Callithrix jacchus: one gene and its partner. Each later gene encodes a partner of the first gene's protein in a complex. Links are inferred from orthologs where the notes say so. Each region holds a gene or a part of one and is shown in the gene's direction. Other genes may lie near its edges.

Region 1 (5,015 bases):
TCTTCTGGCCTCTTACTGTGAGATGCAGGAGGGTTGAGGACAGCTCCATTTGAAGAGCAGGTAGGCTTGTACACTGAGAAACATTCAGAGGGAGGGACACACTGAGCTGGGAGCCTGTCTTCCTCTTCTGAGTTACCGTAACAGCCGCTCTGGATGTGCTGAAGGGCTGTGGGCAAAGCAGCCCTTTGAGTATGAGCAATGTATCTTCCACTATATGCCTGCCCCCCAAGGTTCCTAAAGCCTTGAATTCCCCATTGACAGAAATCTCTGAGTGGCACATAAGCAAAATCTATCACTTCCTGACTTGCTTGCAGCATCTTGAATGATGCCAGATTCCTTTTCTGTTCTTCCTAGGGCAGTTGACAGGGCTGGCGCAGGGTCAGGTCTAGTGGGCTGGAGTGGTCAGGGAATTGGGTGTCATCCTCTCCTCTGGAGTGCCACTCCCTCATCTCTAGGTTCAGAGACTATCTGCATTAAGACAGGGCTTAAGTCTCCTGTTTCCCAGGTTTGTGGTCAGTTTTGAATCAATCTCCAGAAACAAGGTAAAATAAAAATAGTAAATTAACAATGGTGAGATATCTGGATTCACATCTGACAGGAACAGCTCTTTTGGAACCAGAATTTTACTCAATTTGGCTAGCATCTTCTTACGTTATACATACTTAGAATCAAAACGTTTAAGAGGGTAAGAAGGCTGGTCGGAGAGTCAGTTGCTTCACCTTTAATATAACAAGAGGGTGAGTGGGAACTTCGAGGTCTTATTTGTGATGGGCTCAGGCTTGGCTCGTGGTTGGCTGGAACTGCTACGGGCCACGCTTCTCTGGCTTGGATTTCTGAGACTCACCCGGGCCGCAGGCATCTACCCAGGATGACGGAACGGAGGCCCCGGAGGGGTGGCCAAAACCGACTGGACTGTCCACTCGGGGTTCCCGTGGCACTCGGGCGGCCTCAGTAAAGGCCTCTCCTCTCCCCGCCCAGGGCCTTCTTCATTGCATTCCCTGGAAGCTTTCCCCAGGTACGGGAATGTCAGCTGTAAGGAGGGAGCTAGGGGCCCATTCCTCGGCGGAGCCCGCGGGCCGCCCGCGGCCAGGGCGGGGACTTAGCCGAGAGCTCCCCCGCGGCCGGCAGCTGCGGGCGCCGCGGCGGGAACAAAGGCAGCACGTGTCTGGGCGGGGCGCGGGCGGGGTCGGCTCTCGGCCCCGCCCTGCGCGGCGTCCGCCCCGCGTCGGCAGAGTTGGGTTGTGCGGGCGCCCAGGACTCGGTGGCGGTGCTGCTGCTGGGCGGCGGCGCAGAGCGGGCGGTGAGCTGTGCGGGAGGGGCGGCCCCGAGGGGCGGGGCGGTCGAGCGCCCCGTGTCCCGCTGCTGCCGCCGAGTCTGGCTTTTAGATGGGGCCCGGCGCCTAGAGGCCTCCCGCTCGCCGCCGCGTTCTACCCGCACCGTGCGCGGCCAGAGCTGAGGACACTCACGGCCGCGGCTCCCCGGCAAGACCAGGCCGGCGCGTGGACGGTGCGCGCGCCCGGCGAGGGAGGGCGCTGAAGCGCGCGCCGGGAACGGGAGCGGGAGCGCGAGCGCGGCGGCGGCGGTGGCGGCGGCGAAGGTGCGGGCGGCCGAGCGGGGGGCGGGGCCGCGGCGCCTGCAGAACCTTGGACAGAAGCTCCCGAGCCGCCGCCGCCGAGAGCGAGCCCCGCCGAGCGCCCCCGAGCGCCGCCCAGCGCCGGGACCGCGGCGGCAGAACCGCGGCGCGCATTGCGGAGGGCGCGGAGCGCAGGAACCGCCGCCTGCCGGGTAAGCCTGTGCTGGGCGGCCGTCCTTGGCCCCGGGGAGTGGGGACCAGGGTCGCGGCCGCGCGGGGTGTCGAGGCGGGGGTCCTCGGCCGCCTCCGTTGGCGCCCGGGCCCCTCCCGGCTGCGCCTGGGGACCGCAGCGGCGGCGGCGGGCGGGGGTGCTGCAGTGGAGGCGACGAGGCTGCGGCGCGGGGGCGCGGGCAGGGCCCAGGACTGGGGTCGCGGGGGCCGACGAGGCGCTGGGCGGAGGGGCGCGGCGTGGAGCCCCGCCTGGCGTTGAGAACCATCTTGTTTTCCAGGCAGATCCGAGGGGCAGCACGCGTCCCGGGAGCGCCCCCGTCTCTTTCCGGGGCTGCCACAGGCTCGGTGAGCGGTTTTTTCCCTCTGGCTGGCAGGCTGGGCGCGCAGGGGCGCGAGCCCCCGCCCGGCGCGCAGCGACACCATGGGCACGGTGCTGTCCCTGTCCCCCAGCTACCGGAAGGCCACGCTATTTGAGGATGGCGCGGCCACCGTGGGCCACTACACGGCCGTGCAGAACAGCAAGAACGCCAAGGACAAGAACCTGAAGCGCCACTCCATCATCTCCGTGCTGCCGTGGAAGAGGATCGTGGCCGTGTCGGCCAAGAAGAAGAACTCCAAGAAGGTGCAGCCCAACAGCAGCTACCAGAACAACATCACGCACCTCAACAATGAGAACCTGAAGAAGTCGCTGTCGTGCGCCAACCTGTCCACATTCGCCCAGCCCCCACCGGCCCAGCCGCCCGCACCCCCAGCCAGCCAGCTCTCGGGCTCCCAGACTGGGGGCTCCTCCTCGGTCAAGAAGGCCCCTCACCCTGCCGTCACCTCCGCAGGGACGCCCAAACGGGTCATCGTCCAGGCGTCCACCAGCGAGCTGTTGCGCTGCCTGGGTGAGTTTCTCTGCCGCCGGTGCTACCGCCTGAAGCACCTGTCTCCCACGGACCCTGTGCTCTGGCTGCGCAGCGTGGACCGCTCGCTGCTTCTGCAGGGCTGGCAGGACCAGGGCTTCATCACGCCGGCCAACGTGGTCTTCCTCTACATGCTCTGCAGGGATGTTATCTCCTCGGAGGTGGGCTCAGATCACGAGCTCCAGGCCGTCCTGCTGACCTGCCTGTACCTCTCCTACTCCTACATGGGCAACGAAATCTCCTACCCGCTCAAGCCCTTCCTGGTGGAGAGCTGCAAGGAGGCCTTTTGGGACCGTTGCCTCTCTGTCATCAACCTCATGAGCTCCAAGATGCTACAGATAAATGCCGACCCACACTACTTCACACAGGTCTTCTCTGACCTGAAGAATGAGAGCGGCCAGGAGGACAAGAAGCGGCTCCTTCTAGGCCTGGATCGGTGAGCACTGTAGCCTACGTCATGGCTCAAGGATTCAATGCATTTTTAAAAATTTATTATTAAGCAAATCAGTTTTGTGTACAGTATGTGTCTAGCAAAGCCACCAAGGGCCTCACCTTTCCCACAGTCTCTCCCTGGGGTTTTTTTCAGCCCTGCCAAGAACTCTGGGCACTTTTGAACTCACGAGCCTTGAGCAAAACCCAGAAGATGTATTCAGAGCCACCCGGGCCACTGACCTCCCACTTTTGGGAACTCAAAGGACTGACCTGCTCCTACCGTCTGTGCCCTCGCTGGATCCAGGTTGGGCAAGGCTGCCTGCTGCACCCTGGCTGAAGCTGGAGAGGGACCTCTGGCTGCCTGGCCCAGGGAGGAAATTGGGATTTCTGGTTGGAGGCCCTTTTCTGGCTCCTGTGTGGAGTTGTTCATTCTCCCAGAGGCTCCTGGAGCCAGACTCCCTCACTGAGCCACCAGTAGGGTTGTGAGGCAAGATCTCTGCCTCTGGGACATCTTCAATCTAGGCGAGGCAAAGCTGAGCAGGTCTAGTGCAAAGATTTGACCATGCATCATCCTGATTTGCTGTTTTTTAGGGAGAAGGGCTTTCCTTTAGTGGAGAAATGGAACTCGCCCCCCCTACCCCCTTGTCTGCTGCTCCCAGCCACATTGGTGGTATTGGCCAATGAGCTGGTTTGACTCATTAATTTCTCTCATTTTGGGTCCCAGCTAAAGAAGTGGGGTGAAGCTGGGGACAACTTTCCTGGGTGAATTTTTCTTTCGAATAATGCAGCGCAGTCACCCTGTGGCAAATGCCAGGACAGCTGCAGGTGCCCATTAGCAGCGCCTGCCTTCTAGGCAGGTGAGGGATGCTAGGCCTGAGACCAAGCTGGTGCCCACCTAAGGGCTCAGGCCTCTTGTTGGTGCACATGACGTTTGTCTTGCAGAGCTGGGGGTTAGGTGATGTGGTGACCCCACCCCCACCCTGTTAATTTAAAGCTGTTTCCAAACAGTTAAGTTTCTTCTAAAGAGGAAGCCTTGCCCGGCAAGGACCAGTGACACAGCCGGATCTTGGAGACAATTACCAGAAGGGAGTGAGACTCCTGATTGCTCTGGAAGTCTGCTGATTTCTACAACTGATCATTTGCAGCTGCTGGTTCTGGTTTCCACCTTACCCTACTGGCTGTAAAAACACAAGATGTGTACTTTATCGATTTTCTAATTCTCCCGTATTGGTGGCTTGGGACTTGGGAGAGGGAGCAAGCCTTCCTCCACGGCCCATCCCTCGGCTGTGGAGAACAAAGACGAATGTGAAGACGCTACAGAGAATTCTGTCTTCCAGGCCCAGTCCCCAGGGGAGTGCTGGAATGGGGACCTGGGGTGGGGAAGCAGAGGGTCACTTTTCATAGGATTAGGTTTGATGTGGCTACCAGTTTCAGCACAAGCACTACTGAAATTCACACAAAAAGAAAGCTGTGAAATTGAAGTCCCAATTTAAGAGGCCCGGAGCAGAACCTGGTTGCCGGAAGCATTCCCAGAGGTGGGGAGGAGTGCCTGCCCGGCCGGAGAGCATCTGCCTAGCTGCACCTGAGGCCCAGCAGAGCCGTTCCTGGGACTGTCAGATAATTGGTACGGCGCTGGAAGGAGCCTGTGGCTGCTGGCACAGACTTCACACAGCACCTCCTCTCTGCTGGGGTTTCCACACAGCCTGTCTTCAGATCCTGCTCCTGTGTGCGACCCGAGGTGGGAGGCCCCTGGTGGCATGGAAGAGGGAGGGTCGGTGCCAAGTCTCAGGAGGAGGGGGCATGTGTGTAGTCACCTTCAGCTGGTGGAACCTGGCCTGGAACTGTGCGGTTAAATTGCATCCACAGGATTCCAG
Region 2 (4,982 bases), on another chromosome or scaffold:
GGCCGAGAGCAGGGGCCGAGGCGGGGGCGCGCTTCCAGGCACAGGCCGGCACTAGGAACCGCCCCCGCGTCCCTCTGCCCTGAGATTCTCTACTCGGGGCTCAGGCGTCCGGGGGATTCCGTCTCTTGGCTCAATTACTGCACCTCTGAGTGGAAAAGATCCCGCCTCGCGCTGGGGATTCCAGGCAGGAAAACGCAGGCACAAGGATGGCCAGGAAATTCGGGGCGGAGGAAGTCGAAATAGAAACGTACCGGGGTCGAGATTCTCTTCCGCCCCCCGCTCTCAAATAACCCCCGTACGTCCAAGAAAGTCCAGTGCCTCCAAGAAAGCCTCAGGTGGCGAGCGGGTGAGAAGGGTGGCTGCCCAGTACCCGCTCAGTACCTGAGCTGACCTGGGAGAGGGCAACTTGTTAGGCGCCCCCCCCACTTCCTGAGAGGGACAGAGATTCCCTGTGGTGGCCTCCTTACTCTTGAATGGAACCTTCACACTGAATCAACCCTAGCCATAGCCATCATTTATCATTCAAGACCTTTGTGTGTAGTTTTTGTTTACCCAACGAAATCACCAAGTCTTCCAGATAAGGCATATACTTTTCGCTTCTTTTCTCCAGTCGGCCACGTGAAGCATAGCATTGTGTATGCAAAAGCGTTCAGATAAAAACGAGTTAGTTAATACGTGTTTGGCAGCAACTCTGATTCCGATGCTGAGGAGCGCTGTTTGGGATCCTTTTCCCTCAGTCCATAGCCCTCAAGAATGCAATCATGAGACAATTAGAGAGGCAATGCAACGGAATCTATAATCAACTCCTTTAAGGGATGAGGTAGAGGCTGGTGCAAGTTGAGCACCTGTCTGTGGTCTTGTCTGTGGAGGGGGTTAACCAACCTGCCGGCCACACCCTGGCTGACTCCAGTGGGCCCTGCTCCGGAGACTGGGGTCTAGGGAGACCCCCCCCCAGGGCTCCACCCAGCTAGCCTCAGCATATCAGAGTTCAGCGGCTGGAGTCGAGTGAAGGCTGAGACAACAAACGGGGTGCAGCGGAGAGAAGGGTCTTTGGAGTGTACCCCTTCACTAAAAATCCAGCCTCAAAAAGGCACACCTGTTATATTTCCAGCCCTGCCGTCAGCTGTTCCCTGTGAGGTCATCATCGCTCAAAGGCACTCCCCAGTCAATCTTGGGGTCACTAGGTGGCTTGGGGAGAGGTGGAAACCTGTGCTGAGGTCGTCAGGAGGCCGTCGGGAACTCAAGGCCACCAACAAGGTCAGAGTTGGGCCGCCAGGGCCCGGGCTCTAGGCCGCCAAACGCCAAACCCCAAACCCCTAAGGGACAGCGCTCCGCCCCCATCCCCGCTGCATTCTGGAACGCGTAGTCCCGGAGCGGCCCTTTTCAAGAGGTCTGGGAACACATAAAAGAAATAACAACAGCGGGGCACACTGGGAACCGCAGCGCAGCGGCGGGGCGCCCGGAAAACGGACACGCGTGGCTCCCTGGGACTTGAAGTCCAGGGTTTGCCTCCGCGTTGGAACCAGAGCCCGGGAGTCAAGTGCTGCAGAGAGCCTGAGCGCAGCCGGCTGGGGGTTGTAGTTTTCTTGTCCTCGGCCTCGGGAACTGCAGGGAAACCTTGTCGTCTTAGGACTACAAGCCCCAGAAGGCCGTGCGCGGGCAGGCGGGGCGGGGCTGGAGGCTGGGGTACCGCCTCCTCTGCAACGCCAGGGCCAGAGTCTTAAAAACCGAGGGCCCGCAGGGTCCCCGCGGCCGCCGCGATGCAGAAATACGAGAAACTGGAAAAGATTGGAGAAGGTAATGGAATCTCGAGATGTTCCTGCAAGAGCTCCTCTGCATACCCTTCGGCATTCCTTGCAGCCCTGGCTTTCTTACCGTCAGCAGTACCTACAGGCTCCGACCTCAACAGCGGCTGCAGCCCTGGCCCCCCGAGCTCAGCACTCCATCCAGACACCAATCTTCCCGTGTTAGCATTTCCCGTAGGCTCCCACTCCAACCTTAGCGTTCCCAGTAGACCCGACCTCCCAACCGCGACACTTCCTGAATTTCTCACCCTAGCCTCAGCACCACTTGGACAACCTCACCCCGACCCCCAGCCTCGGTTCTTGCTGCAGACCCTCAGTCCTCTCCCAGACACCTCCTCACTATTTCCAGACCCTTCATTATAGTGAGCACTGCCTTCATTATAGACATCCTTGCCTGGCAGCCGCAGTCGTCCTGCCGAGCCCCTGGAGCCTCCGCAGGCACCTTCTCCCTCCCCACCTGCCACATCCTCACTCATAAAGCTCTCCCACCTGCCTTCACCCTGAATCCCTTCCCTTGCACACTCAGACGCTGCCTTCACCTCCCAGGGGGAGGCATTTCCTGGGTTAGGGAAGAGTGCGCCATCCTCTCCCCTGACCCCTGACCTCCTTCCCCTAGGCACCTACGGAACAGTGTTCAAGGCCAAAAATCGGGAGACGCATGAGATCGTGGCTCTGAAACGGGTGAGGTTGGATGACGATGATGAGGTAGGCTGCGGACTGGGATAGAGGCTGGGGAGGGGGTTGAAGGCCTGGGCTGGGTGGGATCTGACTGTTGCCCACCTGGCCCCCTCACACATGCAGGGTGTGCCGAGTTCAGCCCTCCGGGAGATCTGCTTACTCAAGGAGCTGAAGCACAAGAACATCGTCAGGTGTGCGGGAGGTGTGGCTGCTTGGGGGAGGTGGGGGCTGACCTGGGACATTTGTCAGGAAGACGTGCCTGGCTGAGCCCTTCTTTTGCCCTAGGCTTCATGATGTCCTGCACAGTGACAAGAAGCTAACTTTGGTTTTTGAATTCTGTGACCAGGTGAAAGGCGGGATTTGGGGGACAGTAGCCTTGGGAAGGTATAGGGGCCCAGACTGAGGTTAAACTCTGTCCCATTCCTCCACTCATATCCCTTTTTAGGACCTGAAGAAGTATTTTGACAGTTGCAATGGTGACCTCGATCCTGAGATTGTAAAGGTGAGGAGAGTGTTGGGGGACCCCTCAGGCTGGGGTCTAAGTCTGCCTTCAGTGTAAGCACTCCTTGGGCACCAAGTTTGGGCCCTGAACAGGCACGCTCTAGGGTGTCAGAGGAAGAGAAAACCCTGTTTCTGCCCCGCAGGGGCCTCCTAGAGAGCATTTTCACGTGGTTGTCTTTGACCTGCACAGTGGCTCTCAGACACCAATCTGGCCACATTAGAGGGACATCATATGATGTTGACATCAGTAACATCAATGATATTTACACCCGAGAGATGAGAAAATGAGGTTCAAGGAGATACATTCATTCATTCAACACATACTTACTGAATGCTTCACTGGGTGTCAGGTGCTTTTCTGGGCCCAAGATCAAATGCCTTGGTCCAGGTTCCAGGAGAGCCAGTCCTGAATGATACTACACCATGATATTGATGTGGATGGTCATGGTGTGCATACTCAGATGCATCCAGGAAGGGAAGATCATGGGCTGGGATCTAGGCAAGATCTAGGACCCACTGGGCAAGGCCCATTAGGCTGTATGGTTCAGGAAGGTGGGGACCAGGGCCAGCTTGTTTACTGTTGTCCCTCAAATGCCTAGCACAGTACAAAGCAGGTCCTGGATGGCAAATGAATGGTGTCACTCTGAGCCAGGTGCTGGAAGGTGGGTGGAGTGTAGTGAAGCACAGGGTGAGGAGAGGAGCCGGCCAGTTGCTGGCCACAGTTATGTTCAGGGTGTCTGACTCCCTGCTCCCTGCTCTTCCCCCAGTCATTCCTCTTCCAGCTGCTAAAAGGCCTGGGATTCTGTCATAGCCGCAATGTGCTGCACAGGGACCTGAAGCCCCAGAACCTGCTAATCAACAGGGTACTTTTGGGAAGAAGGTGGGGAAGGGGAGGCTAGGACCAGGGCCTGGGGGAACAGGACTGGGAGGATGGAGCCTGTGCTGCCCCAAGGCTGCTCAAAGGCCCTTCGCCATGTTCCCTTTCCATTCCCCTCAGAATGGGGAGTTGAAATTAGCTGATTTCGGCCTGGCTCGAGCCTTTGGGATCCCTGTCCGCTGTTACTCAGCTGAGGTGAGCTGGCAGCTGGGATGTGGTGTTGAGGGAGGGAGCCCCTCAGCTCCTACCCCAGGACCCAAAGCATTATTTTCCTCTCCTCTCTGAGCTTCCTCCTTGAACCTCCTCCCCAGCCCTCTAAGTGGGAGGTCCCTGTCGGGGGGGGTCTCCTCCAGGTGGTTACACTGTGGTACCGCCCACCGGACGTCCTCTTTGGGGCCAAGCTGTACTCCACGTCCATCGACATGTGGTCAGCCGGCTGCATCTTTGCAGGTGATGTGCTTGGGCACTGCAGAGGCACCTTCTTTCCCATTTGGGTTGACAAATAGGATCTGGAGGGTCTCTGCTGGGGAAAGGAAGGGAGGCCCTGGGACGGGCTGGAAGGTCAGGAGTCCCTCAGAGTGAGGGGTCCTTCACATGTCACATCTTAGCCCCTCTCTTTCCTCCAGAGCTGGCCAATGCTGGGCGGCCTCTCTTTCCCGGCAATGATGTTGATGACCAGTTAAAGAGGATCTTCCGATATCCTTCCATTTTCCTCTGCCTCGAGCCCTCTGGGAGGGGAGAGCCCATGGAGTTTTAGCGCAATGGGCAAGGGCAGTGATGATATGGGGTGGGATGGTGGGGTCCATAGGGCTTCTCCTGAGGGCAAGGGGAGAGAGCAGGCGTGCTGGACGCCCTGATGGTCACAGAGCATATGCACACTGGAGAAGGTGCCACTTATAGGATGGGCAGTGTGCCCTGGGGGACGAAGTCAAGAGGATGTCCCTCCAGGTGAGAGACGGATGCCAGGGTGAAGGAGCCCAAGGGAGCAGGGACACGTTTTGTGGGAGTGGGGCAGGACTGGTTCATGAAGACTAGGCCATCAGCATGTGGGTTAGACTAGTTAGCGATTGTCATGGGAACCGGCTGGATGTGTGAGTGACATGCTGGGGCTGCTTCTGTCA

What was found.
Region 2: the proteins of CDK5R1 (region 1) and CDK5 are in contact, whole or in part, in a crystal structure (PDB 3O0G), measured with the Homo sapiens proteins. The link is inferred for Callithrix jacchus from reciprocal best matches to the Homo sapiens genes CDK5R1 and CDK5. Residues at the interface, in NP_003876.1 of Homo sapiens: Trp190, Gln193, Thr197, Pro198, Ala199, Phe203, Tyr231, Leu232, Ser235, Tyr236, Met237, Gly238, Asn239, Glu240, Ile241, Ser242, Tyr243, Pro244, Leu245, Lys254, Glu255, Trp258, Asp259, Cys261, Leu262, Ile265, Asn266, Ser269, Ser270, Met272; in NP_004926.1 of Homo sapiens: Leu37, Asp38, Glu42, Gly43, Pro45, Ser46, Ser47, Leu49, Arg50, Ile52, Cys53, Leu54, Lys56, Glu57, Val69, His71, Leu76, Arg120, Asn121, Val122, Leu147, Arg149, Ala150, Phe151, Gly152, Ile153, Pro154, Arg156, Cys157, Tyr158.

Annotation. Positions count from the first base shown.
Region 1 is NC_133506.1:101,620,172-101,625,186, reverse strand, and holds the start of CDK5R1 (cyclin-dependent kinase 5 activator 1), read left to right. Parts: upstream 1-1,748; 5' UTR 1,749-1,785; intron 1,786-2,082; 5' UTR 2,083-2,225; coding exon 2,226-3,149; 3' UTR 3,150-5,015. UniProt on the Homo sapiens protein: p35 is a neuron specific activator of CDK5. The complex p35/CDK5 is required for neurite outgrowth and cortical lamination. Involved in dendritic spine morphogenesis by mediating the EFNA1-EPHA4 signaling. Activator of TPKII.
Region 2 is NC_133512.1:97,154,678-97,159,659, forward strand, and holds the start of CDK5 (cyclin-dependent kinase 5), read left to right. Parts: upstream 1-1,714; 5' UTR 1,715-1,760; coding exon 1,761-1,797; intron 1,798-2,421; coding exon 2,422-2,510; intron 2,511-2,606; coding exon 2,607-2,674; intron 2,675-2,768; coding exon 2,769-2,829; intron 2,830-2,928; coding exon 2,929-2,985; intron 2,986-3,751; coding exon 3,752-3,847; intron 3,848-3,981; coding exon 3,982-4,056; intron 4,057-4,214; coding exon 4,215-4,311; intron 4,312-4,487; coding exon 4,488-4,557; exon of another isoform or gene 4,558-4,809; intron 4,810-4,982. UniProt on the Homo sapiens protein: Proline-directed serine/threonine-protein kinase essential for neuronal cell cycle arrest and differentiation and may be involved in apoptotic cell death in neuronal diseases by triggering abortive cell cycle re-entry. Interacts with D1 and D3-type G1 cyclins.